Saccharomyces cerevisiae S288C: one gene and its partners. The protein of the gene in region 2 interacts with the protein of the main gene of each other region in a biochemical or structural test. Each region holds a gene or a part of one and is shown on either strand. Other genes may lie near its edges.

Region 1 (7,432 bases), on a different chromosome or scaffold from region 2:
TCAGACAAGTAGCACCAGACCACCAAAGAGGACTACTACAGCTTTGCGTAGCATAGTAAACTCATGCGAAAATGATAAGAATGAAGCTCCCGAAGAGAAGGGAACTAAAAAGAGAAAAACTAGGAAGTATATACCCAAAAAAAGATCTGGAGGCTACGCTATCCTTCTTTCCTTACTCGAGCTTAATGCCATTCCTCGAGGCGTTAGTAAAGAGCAAATCATCGAGGTTGCAGGAAAATACAGTGACCATTGTATGACTCCAAATTTCTCCACAAAAGAATTCTACGGTGCTTGGTCGTCTATTGCTGCACTTAAAAAACATTCGTTGGTTCTTGAGGAAGGTAGACCAAAACGGTATTCGCTAACAGAGGAAGGTGTAGAACTAACAAAGAGCTTAAAGACGGCAGACGGAATCTCTTTTCCAAAAGAAAATGAAGAACCTAACGAGTATTCCGTAACCAGGAATGAAAGTAGTGAATTCACAGCAAATCTGACTGACCTCCGTGGTGAATATGGTAAGGAAGAAGAGCCCTGCGATATAAATAACACTTCATTCATGCTGGATATAACTTTTCAAGATTTGAGCACGCCGCAAAGGCTGCAGAACAATGTATTTAAAAATGATAGACTGAATAGCCAAACTAATATATCTTCTCATAAATTGGAAGAGGTCTCTGATGATCAAACAGTACCTGATTCCGCATTAAAGGCTAAAAGCACAATAAAGAGGAGAAGGTACAACGGAGTAAGTTACGAATTGTGGTGTAGTGGTGATTTCGAAGTTTTCCCAATTATTGATCACAGAGAAATAAAGTCACAATCTGATCGTGAGTTTTTTTCAAGGGCATTTGAAAGAAAAGGTATGAAGTCAGAGATAAGGCAACTCGCTTTGGGTGATATTATATGGGTTGCCAAGAATAAAAATACCGGGTTGCAGTGTGTGCTCAACACCATAGTTGAAAGAAAAAGGCTAGACGATTTAGCTTTAAGTATAAGGGATAACAGGTTTATGGAGCAAAAAAATAGGTTAGAGAAATCTGGCTGTGAACACAAATACTATCTCATTGAGGAGACTATGAGTGGCAACATTGGAAATATGAATGAGGCCCTAAAGACCGCGCTTTGGGTCATTTTAGTGTATTACAAATTCTCCATGATAAGAACTTGCAATTCGGATGAAACTGTGGAAAAGATACATGCGTTGCATACTGTAATTTCTCATCACTATTCTCAAAAAGATCTCATAGTTATATTTCCAAGTGACCTTAAAAGCAAGGACGATTATAAAAAGGTGCTTCTACAGTTTCGTCGAGAATTCGAACGAAAAGGCGGTATTGAATGCTGTCATAATCTTGAATGCTTTCAAGAACTAATGGGAAAAGGCGATCTAAAGACGGTTGGTGAGCTAACTATACATGTTTTAATGCTTGTTAAAGGTATATCTTTAGAAAAAGCAGTAGCCATCCAAGAAATATTTCCTACCCTGAATAAAATACTAATGGCATATAAAACGTGCTCCTCGGAAGAAGAGGCTAAATTGTTGATGTTTAATGTACTGGGAGATGCACCTGGTGCGAAGAAAATTACTAAATCTCTTTCAGAAAAGATATATGATGCTTTTGGTAAACTTTAGCAATTTGAAATATAGTCATCCCTGCAAGGTTTTATAAAGAAAAAAGTGATGATATTCTTTTAACTAATATATACATATATAAGAAAAGAAGCCTTAATTTCTCACGGACAAATATACCAGAAGCATATCTGAAAGCCGCCCCAATGCATTATGATGCCACTTGACAACTCATCAATGGTAGGTACGAAAGACATAATGAACATCAATTCCATTATCAAAAACCCTTCCAACCTCTTCCAGTGACAAACCTTTGACTTCTGGATACCAAAAATATACGAAAAACCAGGCACAAACTGTGAAAAAAGCAAAAATGAGCATTGTATTTTCATCACCAATGGTGTTAATAGTGCTCAGATATGTCATTGAAACAAATGCATTGGTCAACCAATTTGTGCAGGCTATACATGATGCCCCAAATGATCTCCTGTTCAAGGGGAGAAATTCCACACAGGTCCATGGAACGCTGCCCATCGCAGAAGCATATGCTGCAACATAAATTACAACAGAAATTAAAAGTAAATTGACTTGGTCATGACCGAAACCTACACTGCAAAGAAGTAACCCAACAGTCATAATCAAAATTGTTCTCAAAAGAATGGCTCTTCTTCCCAAAGAGTCCATGGTGTACATGGCGAAAAAAGTGAATATGAAGTTCGTTGAGGCAATCAAAATTGGAGGCAGTAGAGGGTTTTTTATATTAAATTTGGAAAATATTATTGCCGCATAGTACATAAAAGCATTAAAGCCAGTGATTTGCTGGAAAAACATTAACATGCAACCTACTATTAACGCTCTTATTGTGCGTGGCTCCATTCTGTGTCTTTTCTTTTTGTTAGATGCCAGGGCACCGTTTGGAGCTGGGCCTCGCAACGCCGATAGATATGCTGATGAGGAGGACATTGTGTTGCTAGTTCTTTCTGTGTTCGAGGAAAGTCTTTTAATGTTAGGTGGGCTAAGAGTTCCTGAGGTTGAACTATCCATGTATCGAATAACCGATTGGGACTGTACTAGTAAAGGTTCACTTGCATCTTCGTATAGTCGTAACTTATCGAGTTCAATTATCAGCTGCTTAATTTTACTATTCACATGATATGTAGATGCAGTAGGATATAGCATTCTTAGAGAATCCCTGGTATATAGAATGTCTCCCTTGGAAATGGACCATCGTGGCGATTCAGGGATAAAATCCAGTATTGAAAGGAACAGAATAGCTGGAATAGCAGAAAGTGCGAACAAATATCTCCATGAATTATCAATCTCTTTCATAAGGGACGCAATCACATAGGAAACCAATTGACCTCCAGTGATGGCAATAATGTTCAATGTCAACATAAAACCCCTGATTCTGGAAGGTGAAATTTCACTCAGAAATAGAGGGACGCACTGGGCAGACACTCCAACAGCGATCCCAACCAGCAATCTCCCACAAATCAAAAACGTCAATGTTCTTGCTATAGCCATTCCAATTGCAGCTAGGATAAAAATTGAACAGCAGATTGCGAGAGTAATTCTTCTTCCATACCTATCTGCTAAAGGAAATGCCAGAATAGAGCCAAAAAATGATCCGACGCTTGTACTGGAAGTTATCAGCTCCTTCTGAACATCCGTTAAAACTACCAAAGATAGATCTTCGGGCTTTAAAGAAAGCAGAACACCTGATATAACACCAGTATCATAGCCGAATAAAAGCCCACCAATGGTAGCACCAACGAAGATTAACGACGTTTTGAACGTTAAAGCATATGGGAGTTGCTCGATGTCATTGGCAGTATTGGATGTTACCTGGGAGATAATGGAATACAGATCAGAATAAACGTCTTCACTTTCATCTGTAGACATACCTCTATCAAGTTTTGACTTTCCTGTCGCTTGCCTGTACGCTTTTGTTTTCTACTGAGAAAAGATACTTTTTGACCATGGACTATAAGTGCACGCTACAGTTGCACATATAAGGTTGTATATAGTTCAAGAAGTTCCTTTCGTATGGAAATTTTGTTATGTATACCTTCCAGTTGCTATGGTAGTCTACCTGACTAAATTATCAATCCGACCGATGTTCGGATGTTGCGATAATATTGGTACCGGAAAAAAAAAAGGAGAGGGCTTTGTAGTGTCGATGTTTAACAACCTGTTTTAAGGAATAAAGTAAAGTGAGGCTCACCTGGTCATTTAACACCAAGAATCAAGGAGCCAATAAGTGCACATGAGTTTTAAAGGGTTTACCAAGGCTGTTAGTAGGGCTCCTCAGTCCTTCCGTCAAAAGTTCAAGATGGGTGAGCAGACAGAGGATCCTGTTTACGAGGATGCAGAACGTCGTTTTCAAGAATTGGAGCAGGAGACAAAAAAATTAAGTGAGGAATCGAAGAGATACTCGACTGCGGTGAATGGAATGCTGACACACCAAATTGGATTTGCCAAATCCATGGAGGAAATTTTCAAACCTATCAGTGGTAAAATGAGTGACCCTAACGCTACCATACCAGAGGACAACCCACAAGGTATTGAAGCAAGTGAACAGTATAGGGCAATTGTCGCAGAATTACAGGAAACATTGAAACCGGATCTGGCTTTGGTGGAAGAAAAAATTGTTACGCCATGCCAGGAACTGTTGAAGATTATTACTTATATTCGTAAAATGGCCACCAAGAGAAATCACAAAAAATTAGATTTAGATAGACATCTAAACACTTATAACAAGCATGAAAAGAAGAAGGAACCAACCGCCAAAGACGAAGAAAGATTGTATAAAGCACAAGCTCAAGTGGAAGTGGCTCAACAAGAATATGATTACTATAACGACTTGCTAAAGACTCAATTACCAATACTGTTCAGTTTGGAAGCTGAATTTGTGAAACCATTATTTGTCTCATTTTATTTCATGCAATTGAACATTTTTTACACTTTGTATAATAGACTTCAAGACATGAAGATTCCATATTTTGATTTGAACAGTGACATTGTAGAGTCGTACATTGCCAAGAAAGGCAATGTGGAAGAACAAACGGACGCCTTGACTATTACACACTTTAAACTCGGTTACTCTAAGGCAAAATTGGAGATGACCAGAAGGAAGTATGGTGTAGCAACCGCCGAAGGCTCACCCGTCAGTGGCGCATCAAGCGGTGTCGGATATGGTGCTGGGTATGATCCAGCAACTGCCACTTCTCCAACCCCTACAGGATACGGTTATGGTGCCGCAGCACCAAGTTACGCCGCTCAACCTGCTGCCCAGTATGGTACTGCTGCCGCCGTTGGTACTGCTGCTGCTGTTGGTACTGCTGCTGGTGCTGCTGCTGGCGCTGTTCCGGGTACTTATCCACAGTATGCTGCTGCGCAATCTCCACCGCTCACTGGGCTAGGCTTCCAACAATCACCACAGCAGCAACAGGGACCACCACCGGCCTACTCTAATCCTCTAACATCACCTGTTGCGGGCACACCAGCCGCGGCCGTAGCGGCAGCTCCTGGCGTTGAAACTGTTACCGCATTGTATGACTACCAAGCTCAAGCTGCTGGTGATTTGTCTTTCCCTGCCGGCGCAGTTATAGAAATTGTCCAGCGTACTCCGGACGTGAACGAATGGTGGACAGGAAGATACAATGGCCAGCAAGGTGTGTTTCCTGGGAACTACGTGCAACTCAACAAGAACTAGAGGAGGCCCCTGCATCCCTCTGTATTCATTACCTTCTATTGTGAGATGTTACCATTACCTTTTTCTTTTATTGTAATGTTTCTTAATTTAAATACTATATAGGGTAATTCATCCTTCCACCAACAAAGTATCGTTTGAGTCTATCTATTACGGGCATGCGGCGAGCATATTACCCTACTGACAATATCCCAAAAGGGAAGGAGCGCGTTCCCAATAGGGCTGCCACCTTCCCAATATGGTACAAAGCCTACCATATGGGGAAATCAGTTTTCTCGCTCACCTCGCCTAGTCTTCCTAAAACGACGTTCCTCAGTCTCCTTTCTCTTTTATAAAACACCATCTCTGTCTTGTCGATGACACAGCCCAGTTGGGAAACCGGTGCTGACAAACAGGAAAAAAGCAAGACTAGTGGCCTGGCGCGGAAGAAACTGAGCTACATTGCACAACATCTTCAAGCAGGGTGTACGCATTCATTACTTTAATACTAAATTTAGAAGAAATCATCCTTTTTACTCGCGAAACTGTTAGGCTTGATCGGACGATCTCAGAAGAGGAAAAACAAATTGATAAAGTCTTCGTTAGGTTTCCTAGAATAGCAGGCCCGTTACAAAAAATTTTTTTACCCATTCCACTGGTTTTATTCACTAGTGACTTGAAAACTCCACATATTTTTGATCTCTTAAGCTTTCACGCATCACAAAGTTATCAGAACAAATTTTCTCCAGAAAGTTATATTGCAGTGTTCAAAAAGCCGTTCTCATTTCACAGCAATTTTTTTCTAAAGTAGAGGGGCAGAGAAATTAGCCTTCACAAGTTTGCTTTCGAGCTTCCAATTTGATTCCTGCTTTGGTCTTACTTTCATCCTCTCAATACCACTAAGATAAACTAAAAATATCTTTATAATGCCAAATAATACTCTTAAACAAGGCTCCAAAATTGAAAATGTTTCTCCCTCTAAAGGTCATGTCCCAAGTTTTTGGAAGCAGTTCATAAACAACCCTAAGAGTATGTCATCCGAAAATATTACAGTCCCTAGATCACCAACTTCTCTTTCAAGGAATGCTCAACCAACTACTTTAAAACGGCCTCCATTATCTTCAAGACCATATTCATATAATACCCCAACCAAAGATAGGAAATCCTTTTCCAAATCCGCGAAACAGAACAATAACAATAACAACGCTAATTCCGGAACATCGCCTCACGCAGAGTTCAAAAATTACAGAGATATGTTTTTATCTAATAGAAATGGTTTCACAGGTAGGGTTTTCGGTGTTACTTTAGCAGAATCGTTGAGCGTCGCCAGTGCAGAGGTCATTGTTCAAAGTGAGTTGGTGAGTTTTGGTCGGATACCCATCGTGGTAGCCAAGTGCGGCGCATACTTAAAAGCAAATGGATTGGAGACCTCGGGTATATTTCGTATAGCGGGCAATGGTAAAAGAGTAAAAGCCCTTCAATACATATTCTCGTCGCCACCTGATTATGGTACCAAATTCAACGATTGGGAAACATATACAGTGCACGATGTTGCATCGCTCCTGAGGAGATACCTTAATAATTTGGCCGAACCACTAATACCTTTATCCCTATATGAACAATTCAGAAACCCGCTACGATCTAGACCAAGAATCCTAAGGCATATGTTGACCCACGAAGTTTCTCATCCGAATGCGAATAAAACAAATAATGTAACAGTAAAATCAAGTAGACAGAACTATAATGATGATGGTGCTAATGATGGTGACATCGAAAAGGAGGACGCTAAAGATGATGAAGAAAAAAGACGAAGAAAAATACGTCATAAGAGAAGGCTGACCCGCGATATAAGGGCAGCTATCAAGGAATATGAAGAGCTCTTTGTTACCTTATCAAATGACACGAAACAGCTAACTATATACCTACTCGATTTACTGAGTCTTTTTGCAAGGCAATCACAGTTTAACCTAATGTCTGGTAGAAACTTGGCGGCCATCTTCCAACCTTCAATATTATCGCATCCTCAACATGATATGGACCCCAAAGAATACGAGTTATCCCGACTAGTAGTGGAATTTTTGATTGAATACTCGTACAAGCTATTACCCCATCTTTTGAAGTTGGCTAAAAGGGAACAACAGGAACGGTTGTCAACCGAAAATAAGAAAAAT
Region 2 (8,529 bases):
CCGAATACTTGTGTTACCAGAAGGATCCACTGACTGGACTTGGGTCACAATTTGAATTTTATTGATTTTCACCTTCATCAAGGAGGATGGTCGTTAGTAATAAAGGGCATTCTGAGTGACAGACAAAGAAATTATCTTCAAAGAAATGTTACTTTGATTCATTGATATGTTATTTGTTTTTATTTGAAAGCACTCAAGGAAACTAGACAACAGTAGTATCAATAGTAGATCCACTTAAATGCACATCATTTACAGAATACATCCTCTTTGTGAAGACGATATCCTCTTGGTCATCATTCAATCTACCTTCGCTAACAGTATTTGCTGAAGAACAATCCCAATTACCAGAATTTGAGAACATATCATCAGATGTTTCTGTCATACTATGGTCACTCTCATTGGATAATGATAACATAGAAGAATCAGATATTCCACTCTTCCCAGTACCATTACCATCGATTATTTTACCGGTATCGACATTGAATTGAACTTGACAAATTTGATGTAATCCCAGTTCACAAAAATTGTCAAGAGTTACTAAACTTCCATCGTTTGCCATATCAAGGAATAAAAATCCACATCCTTTTCCATTGGCCTTAGTGTCATTGCTCTTCAAGCAAATATTTTTATCACTCATACCACTCACAATAATGTTTCCACATTGGAAGACTTGCTTGGTTAATAGTAGTTCACTTTCACTATCTAGGCTAATTGAGTTAAATCCATGGACTAACTCACCATATTTCATGTTTTGTAGGTTTTGTAAATCCCAACAAATGACAAAGCCTTGGTCATCACTGCTATATAACGCGCCTGTGTTTTCGTTAAATTTTAGACTTTCAATGTATCCTTTCTTAGCATATAATTCACAAACTGGTTTACCGTCGCAGGATTGAATGTCCCAAATTTGAATTTTATCGTTCAAGCTCTGTGCAACGTGATGATTACTTATCCATACGCAATCCAAACTTGTGTTCTTTCTTTGCAAATGGTCTTTTCCACATCCTGCAGATATGCTATTATCTAAAATATCTGGAATATAGAGATTTGTTCTCAAATCAAGCAGCGAGATGCCATTTGGTCCAAATTTTGAGCCAACTAAGGCCAGTAAGAAGGGATCATGGAATTCATTAACGGCAAAAGAATTTATACCTGGATATGATTGCAAAAAAATAGGTGTTTTTATGCAATCAAGATTTGATTTCAAGTCATATATAAAGAGGGAGTCATTTAGAAGGGAAACAAAACCGGTCTTGTTCCATGGCGAAACCTTCAAAATAGGTGCTGTTTTTGGCGTTATTTCCAGAATCGGAATCGACGTTGATACGGTAGATTTTAGAAACTTGTTGTGGTTAAACCTTTTTATTATTTTAGCACATCCCTTATATGTTGAAGTTGCTATCAGATTGACTATACCGTCTTGATGACCTGTCAATATTAATTGGTTGTGGTTAGGATTTATTTGAGAGCTGGGGAAAATCTGTGGCGGAAAATCTACCATGGGCAATAAGCAGATACAAGTAATGGGTTTACCGGGAACAGTAATCGTCTGTAGTTCCTTCAGCTTTTTCTCAGCGGAAATTTCAAAAAGTTTCAAGTTGTCTTTCTCGTTCATTGTAGATACTAGAAGTATATTATCCACAATGGACATGTCTGAAGGTATGGATAACTCACTTTCATCAACACCGTACAGTTTCCAATAATCTGATTTTAATTTTTTAGTTGTATAATAGTCATTGAAGTTGTCTGATGCTTTTCGCAAAATCGGTGAATTCATTTTCGAAGTATTGTTTTGCCACGTTTTTTTGTATGTGGATAAAGTCATCATCGATTGTAAAATCCTCTTTTTATCTGATCTCTTCTTTATATTAATAGCAGGCTGACGAAAAATATTTGTTGGTTCGTAGTATTTGGTATCTTGCATAATATTAATACGTGTCACTCTCACTATCACACCTACAATCAAATTTTTTAGCAAACACAGATTAAAATTTGGAAGTCATGCAAGAAGAAGAAGCCAAAAGATAGTTTGAGGAAAGCTTGGGAGAGATATTTCTACCTTTTTATATATTGTAAAACGTTTACGCACTTATTTATGTAAACCAGTAAGCACCCACCCAGCTATGTCGTCATGACTACAAATTGGTTATGAACCAAGCCTTATTCAGTAAACCAGCAAATTTAACATCATGCCGGCATTGAATCATACATAGAAATCAACACAATAGCTTTGAGAACTGAGAATGTAGCTTTGACGCTGCTATTATTATTTGGTATTGTTTACCTTTTAATGTTTATTTGTTTAGAAAACAGACTGCTGGTTTGTTTACATTTGAGAGCAGAAAAAAAAAATTGCTGGCGCAGACCAGCCGCACAGTCACGTGACAGTATACGATCATGTGATCTTACGTACATAATGACATTATACGAGAAAGGGGAAAAAACAAAAATTTAGTGGAAATTTTTGGTAAAGACCAAATTGCAGTGATCTTCATGGTGAAAGGTAATATTTTTTGCTGGCGGGGGAGGGGGCTTCTATCTCGACAATTAAAAGACATACGCTTAACCATTTTTAGGGTACTCGAGTATCGCATCTGCTAATTGATAAAAGGACTTTGTTGTGTTTTGAGGCTGTTTTCCATTTTCTTCGTTAGAGCTACAAGAGTCGACTTTTTCGTTAAACAAAAACGATTATAAGATAATAAGCGCTGTCAGTTTTTTCCACAGTTTTGGACTTGTTACTATAATTCGTGAAGCACATTTTGCAAGTGAGTCAAAATTTCAGTTCAGTCCTTCTTTAGAAGAGTGAGTGCGTAGCAAATAAAACAGCAGGAAATAATTGCTTGTTTTTGTGTGTAAGTACCTTTTAGTTGGAACTACCGAATATAGTGTTATTCGACTTTCACTTTCATAAGCCACAGCTTTTTCTTAGTGCGTTTTTAGTTCGATAAATTTACCAAAAACTATTTTCCCCTTTTCTTATTCCCTTTTCTTTGTTAGCTTGGGTATTATATTTAAAGTAACAGAAAGGAAAGAAAAAAGAAAAAAAATGCCTTCATCCATATCCGTCAAGTTAGTGGCTGCAGAGTCATTATATAAGAGGGACGTATTCCGTTCCCCGGATCCGTTTGCTGTTCTGACTATTGATGGTTACCAAACCAAATCTACATCCGCAGCGAAGAAAACGTTAAATCCCTACTGGAATGAGACTTTCAAATTCGACGATATCAATGAAAATTCTATTTTAACCATCCAAGTCTTTGATCAAAAGAAATTTAAAAAGAAGGATCAAGGGTTTCTTGGCGTGGTTAACGTCCGCGTGGGTGATGTTTTGGGCCATTTGGATGAAGATACTGCTACATCGAGTGGTAGACCTCGCGAAGAAACTATTACTCGTGATTTAAAAAAATCTAATGACGGAATGGCCGTCAGCGGTAGGTTGATTGTTGTTTTATCAAAACTACCTTCGTCAAGTCCGCATTCACAAGCTCCTTCTGGCCATACTGCATCTTCTAGTACGAATACAAGTTCAACTACTCGAACAAATGGTCATTCTACTTCCTCCACCCGTAATCATTCAACGTCTCATCCTTCCAGAGGCACCGCGCAAGCAGTAGAATCAACTCTTCAAAGCGGTACAACAGCTGCTACTAATACGGCAACAACCAGTCACCGTTCCACCAATTCCACATCCAGTGCTACCAGACAATACTCTTCGTTTGAAGACCAGTATGGTCGTTTACCCCCTGGTTGGGAGAGAAGGACCGATAACTTTGGTCGTACATATTACGTCGATCATAACACAAGGACTACCACTTGGAAACGTCCAACGCTCGATCAAACAGAAGCCGAACGTGGCAACCAATTAAATGCAAATACTGAGTTAGAGAGAAGGCAGCATAGGGGAAGAACTTTACCTGGTGGATCATCAGATAATTCCTCTGTAACAGTTCAAGTGGGAGGTGGTTCCAATATACCTCCTGTTAATGGTGCAGCAGCAGCAGCGTTTGCAGCTACAGGTGGTACCACATCTGGTTTAGGCGAATTACCTTCAGGCTGGGAGCAGCGATTTACTCCAGAAGGAAGAGCTTATTTCGTTGACCATAATACTAGAACAACCACTTGGGTGGATCCAAGGAGACAACAGTATATACGTACTTATGGCCCTACAAATACCACCATTCAGCAACAACCGGTCTCCCAATTAGGTCCTTTGCCTTCTGGATGGGAAATGAGATTGACCAATACGGCACGTGTATATTTCGTTGACCACAATACAAAAACAACGACCTGGGATGACCCAAGACTTCCATCATCGCTAGACCAAAATGTTCCACAATACAAGCGTGACTTCAGACGTAAGGTTATTTATTTCAGGTCCCAGCCCGCTCTTAGAATATTGCCGGGACAATGTCATATTAAAGTACGTAGAAAGAACATTTTTGAGGATGCTTATCAAGAAATTATGAGACAAACCCCAGAAGATTTAAAGAAAAGATTAATGATCAAGTTTGATGGTGAGGAAGGTTTAGATTACGGTGGTGTTTCCAGAGAATTTTTCTTTTTATTATCACATGAGATGTTTAATCCATTTTATTGTTTGTTTGAATATTCTGCGTATGACAACTATACCATTCAAATAAATCCTAACAGTGGCATCAACCCCGAACATTTGAACTATTTCAAATTCATTGGTAGAGTTGTGGGTCTTGGTGTTTTCCATAGAAGATTTTTGGATGCATTCTTTGTAGGTGCACTTTACAAAATGATGCTACGTAAAAAAGTCGTATTGCAAGATATGGAAGGTGTTGACGCAGAGGTGTATAACTCATTAAACTGGATGCTTGAGAATAGTATAGATGGTGTCTTGGATCTGACGTTCAGTGCCGACGATGAAAGATTCGGTGAAGTTGTAACAGTGGATTTGAAGCCAGATGGGAGAAATATTGAAGTTACTGATGGTAATAAGAAAGAATATGTCGAATTATATACCCAATGGAGAATTGTTGATAGAGTTCAAGAACAATTTAAGGCATTCATGGATGGTTTTAACGAATTAATCCCCGAAGACTTAGTAACTGTGTTTGATGAGCGTGAACTAGAACTATTGATCGGTGGTATTGCGGAAATTGACATTGAAGATTGGAAGAAACACACTGATTATCGTGGTTACCAAGAGTCAGACGAGGTCATTCAATGGTTTTGGAAGTGTGTCAGTGAATGGGATAATGAACAAAGAGCCCGTTTATTGCAGTTCACCACTGGTACTTCTCGTATACCTGTCAACGGGTTTAAAGATTTGCAAGGCTCTGATGGTCCAAGAAGATTCACTATTGAAAAAGCTGGTGAAGTACAACAATTGCCAAAATCTCACACATGTTTTAACAGAGTTGATTTGCCACAATACGTTGATTATGACAGCATGAAACAGAAGCTAACATTGGCCGTGGAAGAAACCATAGGGTTTGGTCAAGAATGATTATTCCGCACCAATTTTTTTTTTATTTATGGTGTCCGTTTTCCCAACATTCTTTCTGCCTCAATCATCTTGTTTTATATTTCAGCTAACAATAGTAAAGAGAAAACTCTTTTTTGTTAATTTTATCTGAGTTGCTCATGAAATGATTAATCATTGTTGTTTTTACAGCAACATGGAAAGCAGCAAAGAAAATGCAGGAAAACGTGAAGTGCTTTTTTTGATGATTACGCAAAGTTCTTTTCAAGTTCGCCATAAGAGGAGGTTTTCCTTTTCAAAAGGAGCATGATACCAATAATTTATATTGCCTTACGCCTCTTATTTTTTATATCCTCTTTTTAGATTTTATTAATTTTTTTTTTTATTTATATACATATAATGTGCCCTGCTTTTTACAACCATACGTTTTTTGTTTTTTAATTTTCTTGCATTTTAAAACTGAATAGTGACCTGGGTATTATACTACAGTTGAAATTGCTCTCGTGAGGTACATACTTGAAACGAGCGTACTAGGCAATCCCTCTCTTGCCAGTCACCTACACACGGAGAGTATCGGTTATTTGTCGTGAGGAAAAAAGAACCGGATAATAAATTCTTGATTTGTTATATTGTACAGAGAATGACGAGAAGTAAAAAGAGAAACCCGAACAGGACAGAGCGTACATTTTTTATATACCTGTTCTTTTGTGCTTGTAGACGTATATCGTATTATTAAATTAAAAGTAAACCTAATTTGAACCATCGAGATAAAAAAAAAAAAAACGGAGCACTTTTTTGCTCATACAAGCAAAACCGCATTGACACAGCCGTCTCTGTCTGGTTCGTTTGTGACCTGAGCATACTTACCCCAGACAACTTTACCACCAGCAGTAACCATCCCCAATTCCGAAACGTTAACTTCAATAATGGTACCTTTAGTCAAAACACCTAACTGAGTGTACATTGGAGATTGTGGATTCTTCTTAACTGCCAAAATTGGCAAGAAGACAGTTACACCTAATTCCGGATGAGTGACGTTTGCCTTTTTCTGTCTCAACGCACTTGGTCTGATGATTCTTTCCATTTTAACTGGTCTTCTAGTGAAACCTTCACCCACAAAAGTGTGTTTCGTTATCATTCTCTTCCATGACTTGGATCTAGATTTACCTGTTTTAATAACTTTGAACATTTCTTCTTCACTTATACCACGAACCTTTGGTAACGGAACTGAAAACTTATCAGCTTTTTCCAACCTCTTTTGTTTGATCGATGAAGAAATAGCTTTGGCTGTGTTATTTTGTTCTCTGTCCAATAGATATGTCGGCAAAGCATCACCATCGGTATCCAATGGTTTGGATGAACCCTTGACCTTAGATTGTTCATGTGCCTTAATCTTCTTTCTCATTGATACCTTTTCAGCATATCTCTTCTTAGCAAATTGCTTACCCTTCCAACCAGTCAACTTCTGGGCCCGTTCAGAAATCTTATGAGACTCTCTTGCCTCTCTCTTACGTTTCCTTTCTTCGTGATCTAATCTTTTACCATGCTGTTTGATGTGACGCTCGATATAATCGTTTTGAGGCATTGTTTCGTTGTATATATCAGTATTGATACGAGACTGACTACTGACTAAAGATAAAAACGCCAGATACGAAAACCAAGTTCTTCTCTAACTGATACCTAATCCATTCAATTGTCTTAAAAGTGCATCTCATCGCTGTCCGGAAAATTTTTCATCGGATTGTTACTAGAACCGTTGCCGACGACATAAAATTTTTTACGCCTTTCCTGCAAGGTTGAAGAAAAGAAACCGATGAGCTATACCATTCTAAAGTGTCAAAAGAGATGAAGAAATTAAAATTGTCAACTAACACACAAATCCAAGAATGTCTGAACTTAATGCATTATTAAAAGATATCAACGGCTCGCTCACTGCGACATCAGAATCCTTGGAGAGGTTGTCTGGGATTTATAGTAATTCTGCGACCGATGAGATTCCTGAAAGTAACCAACTACATGAGCATCTATTTTACGACGCTAAGAAGCCTGCTGAGAAAGTATCGCTGCTATCCTTAAAAAATGGGAGCATGCTAGGGTACATAAATTCTCTATTGATGCTTATAGGCAATAGGCTAGACGACGAGTGCAAAGATCCTTCTGCTATGGATGCACGTGAACGCTCTATTCAACACCGTGTGGTATTAGAGCGTGGTGTTAAACCACTAGAAAAAAAGTTGGCTTACCAATTGGACAAGCTGACTAGAGCATATGTGAAAATGGAAAAGGAATATAAAGACGCTGAGAAGCGTGCACTGGAAAAATCTACCTTAGTGAATCATAGCGGCAACGACGATAGCGAAGATGATGAGTCTAGTGAGGATGAAATAGCATACAGGCCAAATACCTCTGGAATTATCAACACAAATAAAAAATCATCAGCATACAGGGTGGAGGAAACGGCTAAGCAAGAAAACGGGGAAGAAAACGATGACAATGAGACTGGCGTGTATAAACCACCAAAGATTACGGCTGTTCTACCACCGCAACAAACGCATTTTGAAGATAGATTCGATGCCAGAGAACACAAAGATCGTAGTAACAAATCGCGTATGCAAGCCATGGAAGAATATATTAGAGAGTCATCGGACCAACCGGACTGGAGTGCATCTATTGGTGCTGACATTGTGAACCATGGAAGAGGCGGTATCAAATCTTTGAGAGACACAGAGAAGGAACGTAGAGTCACTTCATTCGAAGAAGATAATTTTACCAGATTGAATATTACAAATAAAGCTGAAAAAAGGAAGCAAAAGCAACGAGAAAGAAATGCAAGGATGAACGTTATCGGTGGTGAAGATTTTGGTATATTCAGCTCAAAGAGGAAGCTGGAAGATAGCACTTCGAGACGTGGGGCCAAGAAGACTCGTTCTGCCTGGGATAGAGCTCAAAGGAGACTGTAGATACAAAAAGTTTATTTTCTTATATCCTAAAGCGTTTATAGACTTAATATTTAAAAGTTAAATATAAATGAAGGGCACTGGTATATAAGCTATTAAAAACAAGAATTTTGGCTT
Region 3 (6,337 bases), on a different chromosome or scaffold from region 2:
CTATGTTTCTTTTTCTTATCCTTTTTATCCTTCTTCTCCCTCTTCTCCCTCTTCTCCTTCTTCTTTTTCTTCTTTTCACTAGACTCCTCTTCATCGTCGTGATGTGAACGCTTCTTTGGTTCTTTCTTATTTTCTTTAACTTCCTCAGCCACATGGAAATCTTCGGCATCATAACCAGTAGCAAAATGCTCCAACTTCAAGCCTTCTACTTTTGGAACATCTTTACGTGGAACTCTTACCTTACTGTAATCAATAGCTGGGATTTTAGCGGTTTCGCTGACAGAAAATACCTTGTCAAACTGTAATGGTGCATTATCCTTGGCAGTGCTAGCAATTTTAAGACTTTCCTTACTTTCCGAAGGAACCAATAAAGTCATATTACTGAGGTTATCCTGTGTTAACGAGGACTCAATATCTGTATCGTCCATGATTTTATAATCGTGTTTATCAATTGTCATGGTTGTAGAGGATTCAAAATCTACAGGCAGAGATTTTAACTTGGAGATGTCCACATTTGATGGGAATTTGATCAGCCAAACCTGTTGCTGTTTCGCTTTTTTTTTGTTATCACCGTTGAGAGGGAAATTCTTTAAATGTTTACATTTCTTGAAACCATCTGGTATGCTGAACTCGTTTGATATCACTTCATCATCAGAGTCTGAATCTGATACGTAATCTTTCGAAAGCTTGGACATATCAATTTTTTGTTAATCCCGTTTATTGAATCCTAGCTGCTCACTGCTCACTCGATCACAGACCTATATGATACCGAATACCCTATAACTTGAGCTATTCAATGCTCATCGATAAAATTTTTCATTTCTTTAATTTCATGTTTGAGAAAAAAAGTTTCGCAACACCCAATAACCACACGCTGCCCTAAGAAAAAACTTTCTCAGGCTGAAAAGAAAATTTTTTTTCATTTTCTAGAGCTTTATGGGCAGAAACAAAATGTATAAATACTGGACAACCTTCTGTAAGGTTATAATAATCTCGACATTCGGTTAATAAGAATTCCCCTACATAAGAACAAACAGCAGTGACTGTAATGTAGTAAGAATGAGAGTAATCCTCCTCTTTCGACTTCAGCATTGCACTCCTTCCCATTTGATACATTCAAGTTTGAATAATCTCAAGAGAAATTTCATGACACTTTTTTAAACAGAAAAGAAGAATTGATTGGCCCTGATGATAATGGTGTCTCTTCTTTCCTCGTCCGATTCGACCATGACGACAAGGGATTTTATCTCGTTCTCTTAATGCGAATGATTTTGAAAAGATGTTGCTTCTGTGACATTTTTTTTTAATCATTTGTGTTTGCAAACGGGAACTTTTCTTGCCAGTGTTATACAACACATGCAGATCTGAGCCTTTATTTTTTCTCATGAGATTATCAAATGTGGGTAATTTGAGGAGACAGATAATATATATAATTTATGATCACGGTGATGAAAGACTGGTTCCTTAACATTCGCAGTTTCCACGGTAGGAGTACGCTTACGAACCCATCGTTAGTACTCTCGGTGACCGCTCTTCTTTAGAGACCTTCCTAGGATGTCTGAGTGATCGTATACTGTAGTATCTTGTGTTTACTTTATCAAACCAGCTTACCAACATTGGAATAGTTGGTTGATTTTTTTCTAGCATCCGAATGGATCTTGTATTTCCTTAATATGAAGTAGACCAGTAATCTGAATCCTGCTAGCTTAAAAAATGCGTTGAATATATATTATTAAATATATATATTTGAAGGGGAGTTGATTACATAACAGTGGCTATTCTTGCAATGGTATCAGAATTATTATTGTTGTTGTTGCTGTCGTTCTCCAGATTCTTGTTCGATTCCTTTGACCATCCATACAGATTACTCTTATAATCATAATGATAAAAGACGGGTTCAAAAATACGTTCATTATTCTCCTCCATAACTATTGTGGGAATGTCATTCAACATCAAGAATCTCAAATGAGGAAAACTTTTCAAAAAAGTAACGTAAATCGACTTGAAGTGATGGATAAGAGCGTGATAACACATAATAATATCTCTTTTGGTCAATGATTCATGAGGAAGTTCCAGGTCAGTGGAAATTGTAGCTGCTGTGTCATCACTACTTGGAGGAATGGCCGCATTAATTTCATCATCATCATCATCGTCATCGATTATTATCATTTCGGGCTCGCTCATATGAGCGGTTGATGTGGAAGTCACGGTGGAGTGTTGATGTGGGTTATTAACGATTTTGGGCACCAACTGGGATTTAGAATTTCTATATTCCAAAAGGTTGCGGTTCATCTTGGTCACAAAATTAGTCAAATTCATTGGTTGTGTTCTAACGCTCGGATAAGCATCACAAGCTTTAGAGTATGGTAACAAAGATAGGTATTTCATCATTTTAAAAATATCCTTTGCAGCAATGTCTTGAAGATCGTGAATATAGTAGTCTTCAGGGAACATGAATATTTTGCCCTTCAGAATGTCACTGAATACTATTTGACAGTTTGTGCAGTTGCATTGCTGATTTAGTTGGAACTTATTTTCTTGAATATTGATGATTTGTGGGATAAGACCGTCGTATCTCAGATCTATGAATTGCAATTTGGAGCAAGCTAAAAGAATGGAGAGAAATATGTGAGGATTTGTGGGTTCAGGTACATACTCCTCTAAGAAATCCATTTTTAGTCTTTTCAAATTGGTTAACGAACTAAAAAGATCTACGAGGATATGAACATCCTGCTTAATAGAAATCAAAGACAAATCTTCCAGGTTCTCAAATTCTTTAAAATCTTTCAGCATTTCTGTCTCGCGTTTTAACAAAGTGTCATTCCAAGAAATGATGGTAAGAATTTTCAATGTCCTCTTGTCAAAAACCTCCGATAGTTTAGTCAGAGGATTGCCGGGTCGTATCTTTTTAACAAAATAATCATTATTGTAAAACTCCCTCCTCCAATGCAATTTTAAATCGATGATTTGTAACTTGATATCTAAAGGGTAAAGATAATTGAACAGTTTTAAAGGGTCGATGAATAAAGTCATATGAGAAAGCCGAGAAGAGATACGCTGTGAAAGATATTTGGTGAGATTCGGAATGTAATTTTCGGGAACAACCATCTCAGGCAATGAATTTGGAGGAGCCATGTCGAAACTTGAGACGTTGCTCCTGGAAAAGTGACCATTGGAGATGATATCGTTACAAGCCGGGTCAGTGACGTTTTCTAGTCTTTGCAAGGACTTGCCCTGATTGCAAAGGATGCTGAGAATGGACCTTTGCAAGGTAGAGTCCAAATCCCAGTTGATCCTTATCCACTGGATGACTTCAGTAATGTGAATATTATTTTGCAGTGTTTCTATAAGTTTTTTCAATTTGCAGTTGGCGATATCGCGGGACTCCTCTTCTTTCAACGAAGACGGCAAGTTCAGTAGGGTCCAATTAATTGCGAGATGCATGAAGTCACTCTTCACTACATTTGAGTCGTTCAAATATATTCTTCTATAAAGCAGTTTGGTAGCGATCTTATTCAACCTTTTGTTCACAAGGCAAAGCTGCAAGCGGTCTGGTTGCGGCAAATGAGAGAATACTTCTTGCATGAGCTCATCGGGGAGCTTTGTTAGCGGGAACACGTAGTTTTTGCTCTTGGCGGCGAAATTTATGTTAATATCGTTAATATCTCGTAGCGCTGAAGCATCTGCGTTACTTTTATTGTTTCTGTTAATGAACGCTGCTTTTTTCTTCTGAAAATAATCTTGAAATGGCATGATATGAATATAAGCTGAGTTGTAAACACTGTGTATAGACGTCCTGGATATTTTGCACGGAAATCAGATCTCCATCGAAATCTACAATTCGCTTATAATCTATATATATTCCTCTTTGTGTGGGACGATAAAGTAGGGTAATACTTGCAATGAGAAAGAATACTCTGGTGAACAGGTGCATTTTGAGAGGGAAATAGGAACTAAGAAAAACAAGTAGAGGAAAAGGGGTGTAGTGCAGTGCAGTAAAGCGTTGCATTGATCGTATCTTGATAGATATACCGGTATATTACTGAACGTTTACATTCACCCTACAACATTTATAAATCTTATATATTATACATGCAAACTCGTATTTGTGAAGTGGGCATATAGTTTTTCGCTATGTATATAGCGGATGAGTGCGTTGGGATTACTATTTCTTTAATGCACGTGATGAAGGCTCGTTTTCTTTTTTTTTTTTTTTTTTTCTTTTTGGGAACGGGGGAAAAGGTCTCACTAGTATATAAAGGAAAGAGAGTACAGCACGAATGAGCCAGCTGCAGGAAAGGGGCTAGGTTAAAAAATAAAAACCCAGCAGAAAGCAAACAACCAAATATAATTTAGAAATGGACAGAGACCATATTAATGACCATGACCATCGAATGAGCTATTCCATCAACAAGGACGACTTGTTGTTAATGGTTTTGGCGGTTTTCATTCCCCCAGTGGCCGTCTGGAAGCGTAAGGGTATGTTCAACAGGGATACACTATTGAACTTACTTCTCTTCCTACTGTTATTCTTCCCAGCAATCATTCACGCTTGCTACGTTGTATATGAAACGAGTAGTGAACGTTCGTACGATCTTTCACGCAGACATGCGACTGCGCCCGCCGTAGACCGTGACCTGGAAGCTCACCCTGCAGAGGAATCTCAAGCACAGCCTCCAGCATATGATGAAGACGATGAGGCCGGTGCCGATGTGCCCTTGATGGACAACAAACAACAGCTCTCTTCCGGCCGTACTTAGTGATCGGAACGAGCTCTTTATCACCGTAGTTCTAAATAACACATAGAGTAAATTATTGCCTTTTTCTTCGTTCCTTTTGTTCTTCACGTCCTTTTTATGAAATACGTGCCGGTGTTCCGGGGTTGGATGCGGAATCGAAAGTGTTGAATGTGAAATATGCGGAGGCCAAGTATGCGCTTCGGCGGCTAAATGCGGCATGTGAAAAGTATTGTCTATTTTATCTTCATCCTTCTTTCCCAGAATATTGAACTTATTTAATTCACATGGAGCAGAGAAAGCGCACCTCTGCGTTGGCGGCAATGTTAATTTGAGACGTATATAAATTGGAGCTTTCGTCACCTTTTTTTGGCTTGTTCTGTTGTCGGGTTCCTAATGTTAGTTTTATCCTTGATTTATTCTGTTTCATTCCCTTTTTTTTCCAGTGAAAAAGAAGTAACAATGACAGAAGATAATATTGCTCCAATCACCTCCGTTAAAGTAGTTACCGACAAGTGCACGTACAAGGACAACGAGCTGCTCACCAAGTACAGCTACGAAAATGCTGTAGTTACGAAGACAGCTAGTGGCCGCTTCGATGTAACGCCCACTGTTCAAGACTACGTGTTCAAACTTGACTTGAAAAAGCCGGAAAAACTAGGAATTATGCTCATTGGGTTAGGTGGCAACAATGGCTCCACTTTAGTGGCCTCGGTATTGGCGAATAAGCACAATGTGGAGTTTCAAACTAAGGAAGGCGTTAAGCAACCAAACTACTTCGGCTCCATGACTCAATGTTCTACCTTGAAACTGGGTATCGATGCGGAGGGGAATGACGTTTATGCTCCTTTTAACTCTCTGTTGCCCATGGTTAGCCCAAACGACTTTGTCGTCTCTGGTTGGGACATCAATAACGCAGATCTATACGAAGCTATGCAGAGAAGTCAAGTTCTCGAATATGATCTGCAACAACGCTTGAAGGCGAAGATGTCCTTGGTGAAGCCTCTTCCTTCCATTTACTACCCTGATTTCATTGCAGCTAATCAAGATGAGAGAGCCAATAACTGCATCAATTTGGATGAAAAAGGCAACGTAACCACGAGGGGTAAGTGGACCCATCTGCAACGCATCAGACGCGATATCCAGAATTTCAAAGAAGAAAACGCCCTTGATAAAGTAATCGTTCTTTGGACTGCAAATACTGAGAGGTACGTAGAAGTATCTCCTGGTGTTAATGACACCATGGAAAACCTCTTGCAGTCTATTAAGAATGACCATGAAGAGATTGCTCCTTCCACGATCTTTGCAGCAGCATCTATCTTGGAAGGTGTCCCCTATATTAATGGTTCACCGCAGAATACTTTTGTTCCCGGCTTGGTTCAGCTGGCTGAGCATGAGGGTACATTCATTGCGGGAGACGATCTCAAGTCGGGACAAACCAAGTTGAAGTCTGTTCTGGCCCAGTTCTTAGTGGATGCAGGTATTAAACCGGTCTCCATTGCATCCTATAACCATTTAGGCAATAATGACGGTTATAACTTATCTGCTCCAAAACAATTTAGGTCTAAGGAGATTTCCAAAAGTTCTGTCATAGATGACAT
Region 4 (8,726 bases), on a different chromosome or scaffold from region 2:
AAGATGAACTAAACAAAATCGCAATCAAAGTAAAAACGCGCATAATTCCTAGCGATGATTGGGAATATATATTTATGAAAAAACTTCACTAGCGCTCGTGAAACTACTTCAAAGGCAGCTGGGAAATAAATGTCTTCAAAGCAGAGAAGAGTTCCCAAATAGAATTCTCAGATCGTCAATCGCTCATCTTTGAGTATATCACGTCAAAAAACAGGAAACAGTGAAAAAAAAGTAGTCCATAATAAAGCGCGTTTCCGTCAATGCCGTTGGTTAATAAAGAAACAAATATGTAAAAATATAATATAAACAGGGCACTTGAGAGAGCACAAAAAAGAGCCAAACGCTACCTGATACTTTTATAGTTTTGATAATGGGGTTCTACAACTGTAGATTCCTGTCCAGACGTCTATCTGTTGAGCCTTGCAGAATAGGTAGCGCCGCTAAAAGCTATCAACAGCGATCGATTTATCACTTTGGCGCTGCTCTCACAAATGCCCCTAGTGGAAGAGAAACACCAGACAAGCTACGTTCTGACCTGCATAGTGCTTTAGAGATGGTCGATGAAATATATGACACAAATTCGACTGTAGAGGACATTGGAAACAAGGAAAAGGGAGGTCGACAAAAATATACGGAAGAAATGGACAAGGCGATTAATCTACTGAAAACAAATATAAAGAAGGAGTATAGACATGATAAGTATTTGGAGCGGACAAAGGTAGGAACGTATCCTGGTAGAAGAACATATCCTGGTAGGAGAACATATCCCGCTAGGAGAACATATCCCGCTAGCAGAACATATTCAGATAGCAATTCATACACTTTTCGGATAAATGTCCAGAAGATTAGGCACGCATTAGTACGTTACAATCAAGATGGTGTTCAAAAACACAACCAAAAGCCTCCTAGGATTGGTCATGGATTAACGAGAGTGTTATACCAACCGTTGTCGCTACAAAAATTGAGAGATAATAGGAGCAGAATGTATAATTTTGACCCTGCAGTGGAAAATATTAATCCAGAGTATTTGGAAAAGAAAAGTGAAAAAGATGTGAACACAGACTCCTCTGGAGAAGGACAAAGCAAGCCAATATTCATCACACCCCACAAAGATGAATCTCTGTTAAAGGTTGCCAAAGAACATAGAAAAAAGTACATATCTTCATCAAGTTCCATGACATCAGTACTTTCTCAGTTGCACTATTTATTATCCAATTTCAGAAGATTGAATATCATTGATTCCTCGATATCGAAAAATTTTCCTCAAAAAAACTGCAATTATTCAGAAAGTGCATATTTTCCGTCAGCAGTCATTCTGAGAAAGAAGAGAAATGGCATTTGTTCTATTGATTCAGATAGAAGTCTGGATAGGGAGATTGTGCTTTCTGTACTAGGTCATTATCTTGAAGACTTTTTAACGGAAAAGTCCCTGAAGAATAGTTCAAAAAGTGAAAATTATCACTATTCTAGTATAGATGAATTCATTGTGAGATCTCAATTGGACGCGTACGACCCAAATCTACCTGGAACGGGTGTATTTGATCTGAAGACAAGAGCAGTTTCTGCCATAAGATACGATTTATCACATGTAGAGAGTAATAACAACCAAACTGGATATGAGATAGATAAAGTTTATGGGGAATTTGAGTCTTTGGAAAGAGAATATTTTGAACTAATCAGGTCTGCCCTTCTAAAGTATTCTTTGCAAGCTAGAATTGGCAAAATGGACGGTATTTTCGTTGCATACCACAATATTTCTAAGATGTTTGGATTCCAATATCTACCTTTGGACGAATTAGATTATATAATCCATTCTTCGTATAACAGCAAATTCGACAGTTTGTTAAAGGAGAAGAATGATATCACAAAAGGGATATATGGTGAGGAGGACTACATTCTACACTATGACAGGGACGATAGGAAAATTGCTTGCTTGGTGGCTAATAGGGAATTTAAGATGTCTATGAATCTGTTCAGTAATATTTTGAAACACGTTGAGCAGTTACTTAACTCAAGTAATACGAAATGGGAAAAATGCAAAATAATGCTTAAAACCGAAGTTGAAGAAAAACGATCCAAAAGTGGCCGCTTCTTTAACGAACCGGTGCTAAATATTGTAGCCCTGCCGTTGTCACCTGAGTACGAGGATAAATCTTTATTGGTAAAGGATACTTCGAACGAACAATTAACAGAGGAGCTACTAAACCTCCGCTCATATAACGAAAATCTTTTGGAGGAACACCTGAATTCCTTAGTTGGATTTAAAGTAAATGTCAAGCATTTCTATCACCATCATCCTAATACTACACATCTACCTGATTTTGCTTTAAAAAAGAACGATATTCTCGACACCGAATCCCGTAAATATATTTCTGACATGATGAAACGAGACTGGTACAAAGATATACCATCTACACAGACTCCAAACTTTTTCCACGCTTCCGATGTTTCCACTTGGGAGGTGAACTCTACTTTTACAGATATCAATGACAAACAAATTTTACGAAAACTATACTTTAAATATTTGGATGTTAAATTAAACGCATTGAAAAATCAAGTAATCACACGTCAGGAACCTGATATGTCTAAAAAGGATGAAATTATGAATCGAATCAAATCACTACAAGCCCGCAATGATCACCGCGATAATGGAAGTAACAAAAGATATTCTAATTTTGGCCCTACCCGACTGCAAACTAAACTGCGCGCATATGCTAAAAAAGGTGCCCTTCGAAGAAAACTATTAGAAAGGAGTAACAAGTTCCATATCTAGAAGACAGTAGTCAGCGTTGGGCAATCTAATGTTATAGGTGAAGTTTTACTACTTTAATGTATTCACTCACAACTTTCGACCTTATGTAATTATTCTATGTATTTTTAGATATGTCCATACAATGCATTATTCTTGTAATTATAACACATATTAATTAAACAATGGGTCAAAAAGAGTCGAGTCCCTTGGTACATATTATGTTACATTACTGATTAAGTTGAATAAAAGCATCTAACTTTAAGGAATCTGCTTTATTTTGAAGACCGAAAACTACGAGTAAAAATAGGAGTTTTAATGCGGATGAATGTCTAACCCCAGAGATGGGTTCTCCGATAAAAACTGAGAAGCTTCCTGTTCACAGTTTTTATAAATTATTTTGTATGGCTGGGCTCTTGCAATTTTCAGCGTTTTTTTATTAAGCGAAAAAAACAGAACAGGGGTCCCCTATTCAAATATAGACGTCAAAAAGATGCAGATCTAAAACTAATTAACAACCATACAGAAATCAACGCGATTTCATCACACCATTCGCTTCTCTTCCTCCATAAGTAATAATGTTTTCATCATCATCTCGACCTTCAAAAGAGCCATTACTATTTGACATCAGACTTAGAAATTTGGACAATGATGTTTTACTGATAAAAGGCCCCCCTGATGAGGCATCTTCTGTCCTACTATCTGGAACTATAGTATTGTCAATTACTGAGCCAATTCAAATCAAGTCTTTGGCTTTGAGACTTTTTGGTAGGTTGAGACTAAATATTCCAACGGTTTTACAAACTGTTCATGGGCCGCATAAGCGATACTCAAAGTTTGAGAGAAACATATATTCTCATTTTTGGGATGATTTTAATATAAAAAGTTATTTCCAAAACTTGTACGATAATCATAATAATGGTAAAATAACAATTTCTAGTAAATCCTCAACAAATTTAGCAGCATTGCCAAAGAGAAAAAGAGCCCTTTCTACTGCATCATTGATATCAAGTAATGGGCAGACAAGCGCAAGCAAAAACTATCACACCTTAGTAAAAGGTAACTACGAATTCCCTTTCAGCGCGATTATTCCTGGGTCATTAGTGGAAAGTGTAGAAGGCCTACCAAATGCTGCCGTCACTTATGCTCTGGAAGCTACTATCGAGAGACCTAAGCAGCCCGACTTGATCTGTAAAAAACATCTAAGAGTTATTCGAACGTTAGCTATAGATGCAGTCGAGTTATCTGAAACAGTATCAGTGGATAACTCATGGCCTGAAAAAGTCGATTATACGATCTCCATTCCAACTAAGGCAATTGCCATTGGCTCTTCCACCATGATCAATATTTTAATTGTTCCTATATTAAAAGGATTGAAGTTAGGCCCTGTTAGGATCAGTTTGGTGGAAAATTCCCAGTATTGTGGTAGCTATGGAGGGGTTATCAACCAAGAAAGAATGGTGGCTAAATTAAAACTAAAAGATCCCCTGAAGCACGTTGCCCAAATAAAGAAGAAGAGGAGCCTAAATGAAGCTGCCGACGAAGGGGTTGATACGGACACAGGGGAATTTCAAGATAAATGGGAAGTTCGAGCTTTATTAAACATACCTGCAAGCCTGACTAAATGCTCCCAAGACTGTCGCATTTTATCTAATATCAAAGTCCGTCATAAGATCAAGTTCACTATAAGTTTACTCAATCCGGACGGTCATATTTCAGAATTGCGTGCGGCACTGCCTGTCCAATTATTCATTTCACCGTTTGTTCCAGTCAATGTAAAGACCTCCGATGTTATTGAAAGAACGCTCAAAACGTTTGGACCCTCATATCAAGTAACAAGTCAGCACGATAATTCATTCAGCAGCAAAAACTTTGTAGACGATAGTGAAGAAGATGTGATTTTTCAAAGATCTGCTTCTGCGTTACAATTGTCTTCAATGCCAACCATAGTATCTGGCTCTACTTTAAATATCAATAGTACTGATGCAGAGGCTACCGCAGTCGCTGACACAACTATGGTAACTAGTTTGATGGTACCTCCCAACTACGGCAATCACGTTTACGATCGAGTGTATGGCGAGGTAACTAATGAAGACGAAACTTCAGCATCAGCTTCTTCAAGTGCCGTCGAATCACAGGCAATTCACAATATTCAAAACCTATATATATCGGATAGTAACAATAGCAATAATCCTATTTTGGCACCAAATCCTCAAATCAAGATTGAAGATGATAGCCTAAATAATTGTGACTCTCGAGGGGACAGCGTTAACAATAGTAACCTGAATCTGGTTAATAGTAATCTAACAATTAGTGAAAATTGGAACAATAACTCTCCTTCTGCAAATAGATATAATAACATCATTAATGCTGGATTGAATAGTCCTTCACTGACACCAAGCTTTGCACATTTATCTAGGCGTAACTCATATAGTCGCCAAACATCTTCTACATCGCTGAAGAACGATTTGGAACTGACAGATTTAAGCAGAGTTCCCTCGTATGATAAAGCAATGAAATCTGATATGATTGGTGAGGATCTTCCACCGGCTTATCCCGAGGAAGAACTTGGAGTTCAAGAAAATAAAAAAATTGAACTAGAAAGGCCACAAATTCTTCATCACAAGTCTACATCCTCTTTGTTGCCACTTCCAGGCTCGAGCAAGAGTTCCAATAATCTGAAAAGATCGTCTAGTAGGACACATTTATCCCACTCTCCATTACCAAGGAATAATAGCGGATCCTCAGTATCATTGCAGCAGTTGGCGAGAAACAACACAGATAGTTCATTTAATCTAAATCTCTCTTTCACTTCAGCAAAAAGCAGCACAGGAAGCAGACATTTTCCGTTTAATATGACAACATCTTTCACTAGTAATTCAAGTTCCAAGAACAATTCACATTTTGATAAAACTGATTCTACATCTGACGCTAATAAGCCAAGAGAAGAGGAAAACTATACGAGCGCAACCCACAATCGAAGGTCACGCTCATCGTCAGTTCGGAGCAACAATAGCAACTCACCATTAAGACAAGGAACAGGTTCATTTGCTAATTTAATGGAGATGTTCACAAAACGGGATCGCTCATAGACTGCTTTATTTTTTGTCTTCGAAATTTCGACAAAAAGATATGAGCAATACTTCATACACGTTTGTACAGTTAAGCATATATACTTTGATAGAGTACTTTCATACCTCATACCACTTGAAAAATGATAATATAATGTTATAATACTACCTCATAATTGCTATAAAGTAAAACAATTCGGCGTTGTAGTTTATGCTTCTATAATCACAAAAAAATTTCACTGAAGTTGTCAGATTCTGCCGCAAGGCTTCTCATAGATTTTGTTAAGTGGTCTTACTCGGTTTTATGGCTTGAAGGTTAACATAATTATGAAAACTTATTGATATCCTCCCCACCCCTAACGTTTTAAAAATGATCTCGTCCAATATGTTTGAGGTGAATAATATCGGACCAGTTCTTGTTTTTAAAAGATAAGAATTGCTCATATTTCCCATACTTGTTGGAAAATTTCTCTCAACAATTGTATGAAGGCAAAATCCCTCAATTGAAACATTAAAATAGTGATTAGAAAAACAGGATTAATCAGTTATACGAACGTATTTTTGAGAGAATATAATGAGAATACAATGAGCTTCAGAAGATCTGTTTTTCTTTACTTGGCACTTCTTCCTCAACAATTATTGGCACTACAAAATTTTCTAATTAAATGTTAAAGATCCCACAGACATCATTCGTATATATCCTCCCATTTTATACGGTTAGCCAACTTTGCGATCCTACGGAAATTGCTATTTTTATAGTCAACTCATTGATCTCGAGCACAGCTGCTCTTTTCTCTCAATGAATTACGTTATATGTTAATCACACAAGCATCAGTTTTTCATCGCAAAAGAAAATATTTAGAGTTCTTGCAATTCAGATGTACCTCAATTAATAACTCAATCACCTCCTATGTTCTTGCTGGTAGTACTGCTTTTGTCTTAATTACTGCTGAATCAGCCTTCTAGAAGACCGTTCTGTTTCAGCCGCTCGCCCCTTTTCAAAGCTTGCGCGGCTGAGTTTTATGAGGGGCGGCTTTTTTGTGAATGGCAATCTACCATTATTAGTAGCAATATGATTTGCAGATAGATACATATATATCCTTCTGGGTTCATGTCTCGTTACCATCCACACTAATGCATAGGACCAGAAAGAAAGGACATCGAATCCAACACGTATTAAAATAAGGACTCCTCATTAAAAAGGCTTTTAATATTCAACTTGCTATAGATCACGCACCCTTTTGGCAAGTCAACCTTAAATTATTATGATTTCTGTTTGCCCACAAAATGACTTGCAAAAATGCTACAGAAGCCTCACATTCGATGTTCCAGGACAACAATTCGAAGAGAGAAATGAACAAAACCTTAAAAAACGGGCCAAAAAGAAAGGCAGTTTCCAACCATCTGTTGCCTTTGACACAGTGCCTTCCACCGCTGGTTATTCTTCTATAGACGACAGCAGGGAAGGATTCAAAGGTGTACCTGTTCCCAACTATTACACGATGGAAGAGTGCTATGACGATGAAACAGACTCTTTTTCGCCAAATTTGCAATATTATTTGAGAGATACATTCCAATCATCACCTTTTCTGAATACTAGAAAAGAGAACAAATCTGAATCCAGTAGTTTTCCAATGAGATCCTCAAAGTTGTTGGAAAAGAATTCTGACATCAAAAAATATTTCTTGGTATCCAAGAATGGAAAAATAGTGAGGAGAGACTATCCAAGCACGCCAGTAATTGTCAACGAAACGTTGATGATAAACAGGTTTGAAAAGAACTGGATAAAGTTATGGCGCCAAAGAAAACTACAAATAAATGAAAGGCTGAATGACAAAAAAAAATGGTTTACTTACCCAGAACTTATCTTCTCTGAAGAGCGTATTAAACCGTTATATAGAGGAGATGATAGTGCACCATGTACAAAAGAACAAAAAAGAAAGCATAAAATACTTCAACAAAAGGTCGGATATCCCAATAACCCTAAGACAATAGTTTGTCACATTAACGGAAAAAAACATACGTGGGTTGCCCTAGACTGGACAGTCTACAAGTTTGCACGAAATCTTGATCACATTGTTGTCATAACTACACTGCCAAAAATGATTTCTAACAGGAAAAAAACTGCAAAAGATGATACAGAATGGGCACCGGGATATCAAAAAGAAGTAATAGATCAAAAATTAAACGACATTTTTGATTATATTTTACAGCTAGTAAAAGTGGTCAAAATATCCGTCAAAATTACTTTAGAAATAATTGTAGGCAAAATTAAAAAAAGTCTGGTAGATGTCATTAATGTCCATACTCCAGATTTCTTAGTTCTTGCTACTTTAAAGCACGAGCGAAATGAGAATCTTATTACATATAAATCCAAAAAGCTGACAGATGTCTTTCCTGTTAGTTATCCGATTCCCACATTTGTTGTTCCCTCGAAACGAATGTATTCGTTCGAACTGAATCTACAAAGAGAAGTAAATGAACATTATGTCTCAAAAAATCATATGAAGCACGAACACACTGACGTTGAGAGCATGAGCAGTTCAATGTTCAAAAAAAATACAATATCAGATATTTCTTCACATATTTCCGTAGATTCGTACGCCGAAGATTTCAAAAGGCAAGGCTACATCAAAAAGCAGTTCAACACCTCTAATGATTCCATTCCAAGAAAATTGACCGGTCTCGCCCAGCATTCAAGAAGGAAGATCACGGGTGATATAGAAAAATTACAAGACGATGAGAAAGATAGAGAATGTACTAAGGAAAAACTTTTGTTGAAGAAAATTGATATCATAATTAGAGAGTCATTGAAGTCTTCTTTAGCGATAGAGACGTTGCCTGGTAAAAATGTATCGCAGTCCAGTCACGGTGACCAAATTTCCAGCTTTAAGAATGCTTTGATA

What was found.
Region 1: the proteins of RSP5 (region 2) and RVS167 form a complex in vitro, tested with the Saccharomyces cerevisiae proteins (4 studies listed by BioGRID, with this or other methods).
Region 3: of the proteins of RSP5 (region 2) and SNA3, one has a biochemical effect on the other in vitro, tested with the Saccharomyces cerevisiae proteins (11 studies listed by BioGRID, with this or other methods).
Region 4: the proteins of RSP5 (region 2) and ROD1 form a complex in vitro, tested with the Saccharomyces cerevisiae proteins (4 studies listed by BioGRID, with this or other methods).

What each region holds. Positions count from the first base shown.
Region 1 is NC_001136.10:1,246,350-1,253,781, forward strand, and holds RVS167 (amphiphysin), read left to right. Parts: upstream 1-3,836; coding exon 3,837-5,285; downstream 5,286-7,432. Other genes in the region: MUS81 (Mus81p), read left to right, coding at 1-1,633; CIN10 (Cin10p), read right to left, coding at 1,805-3,472; GTPase-activating protein SAC7, read left to right, coding at 6,188-7,432. UniProt on the Saccharomyces cerevisiae protein: Component of a cytoskeletal structure that is required for the formation of endocytic vesicles at the plasma membrane level.
Region 2 is NC_001137.3:407,140-415,668, forward strand, and holds RSP5 (NEDD4 family E3 ubiquitin-protein ligase), read left to right. Parts: upstream 1-3,049; coding exon 3,050-5,479; downstream 5,480-8,529. Other genes in the region: DSE1 (Dse1p), read right to left, coding at 203-1,924; rRNA-processing protein NSA2, read right to left, coding at 6,255-7,040; small subunit rRNA maturation protein LCP5, read left to right, coding at 7,342-8,415. UniProt on the Saccharomyces cerevisiae protein: E3 ubiquitin-protein ligase which accepts ubiquitin from an E2 ubiquitin-conjugating enzyme in the form of a thioester and then directly transfers the ubiquitin to targeted substrates.
Region 3 is NC_001142.9:134,795-141,131, reverse strand, and holds SNA3 (Sna3p), read left to right. Parts: upstream 1-4,358; coding exon 4,359-4,760; downstream 4,761-6,337. Other genes in the region: DNA-directed RNA polymerase I subunit RPA34, read right to left, coding at 1-695; SCF ubiquitin ligase complex subunit DAS1, read right to left, coding at 1,762-3,753; inositol-3-phosphate synthase INO1, read left to right, coding at 5,199-6,337.
Region 4 is NC_001147.6:361,042-369,767, forward strand, and holds ROD1 (Rod1p), read left to right. Parts: upstream 1-3,327; coding exon 3,328-5,841; downstream 5,842-8,726. Other genes in the region: ERP4 (Erp4p), read right to left, coding at 1-43; PET127 (Pet127p), read left to right, coding at 371-2,773; YOR019W (uncharacterized protein), read left to right, coding at 7,086-8,726. UniProt on the Saccharomyces cerevisiae protein: Mediates resistance to o-dinitrobenzene, calcium and zinc.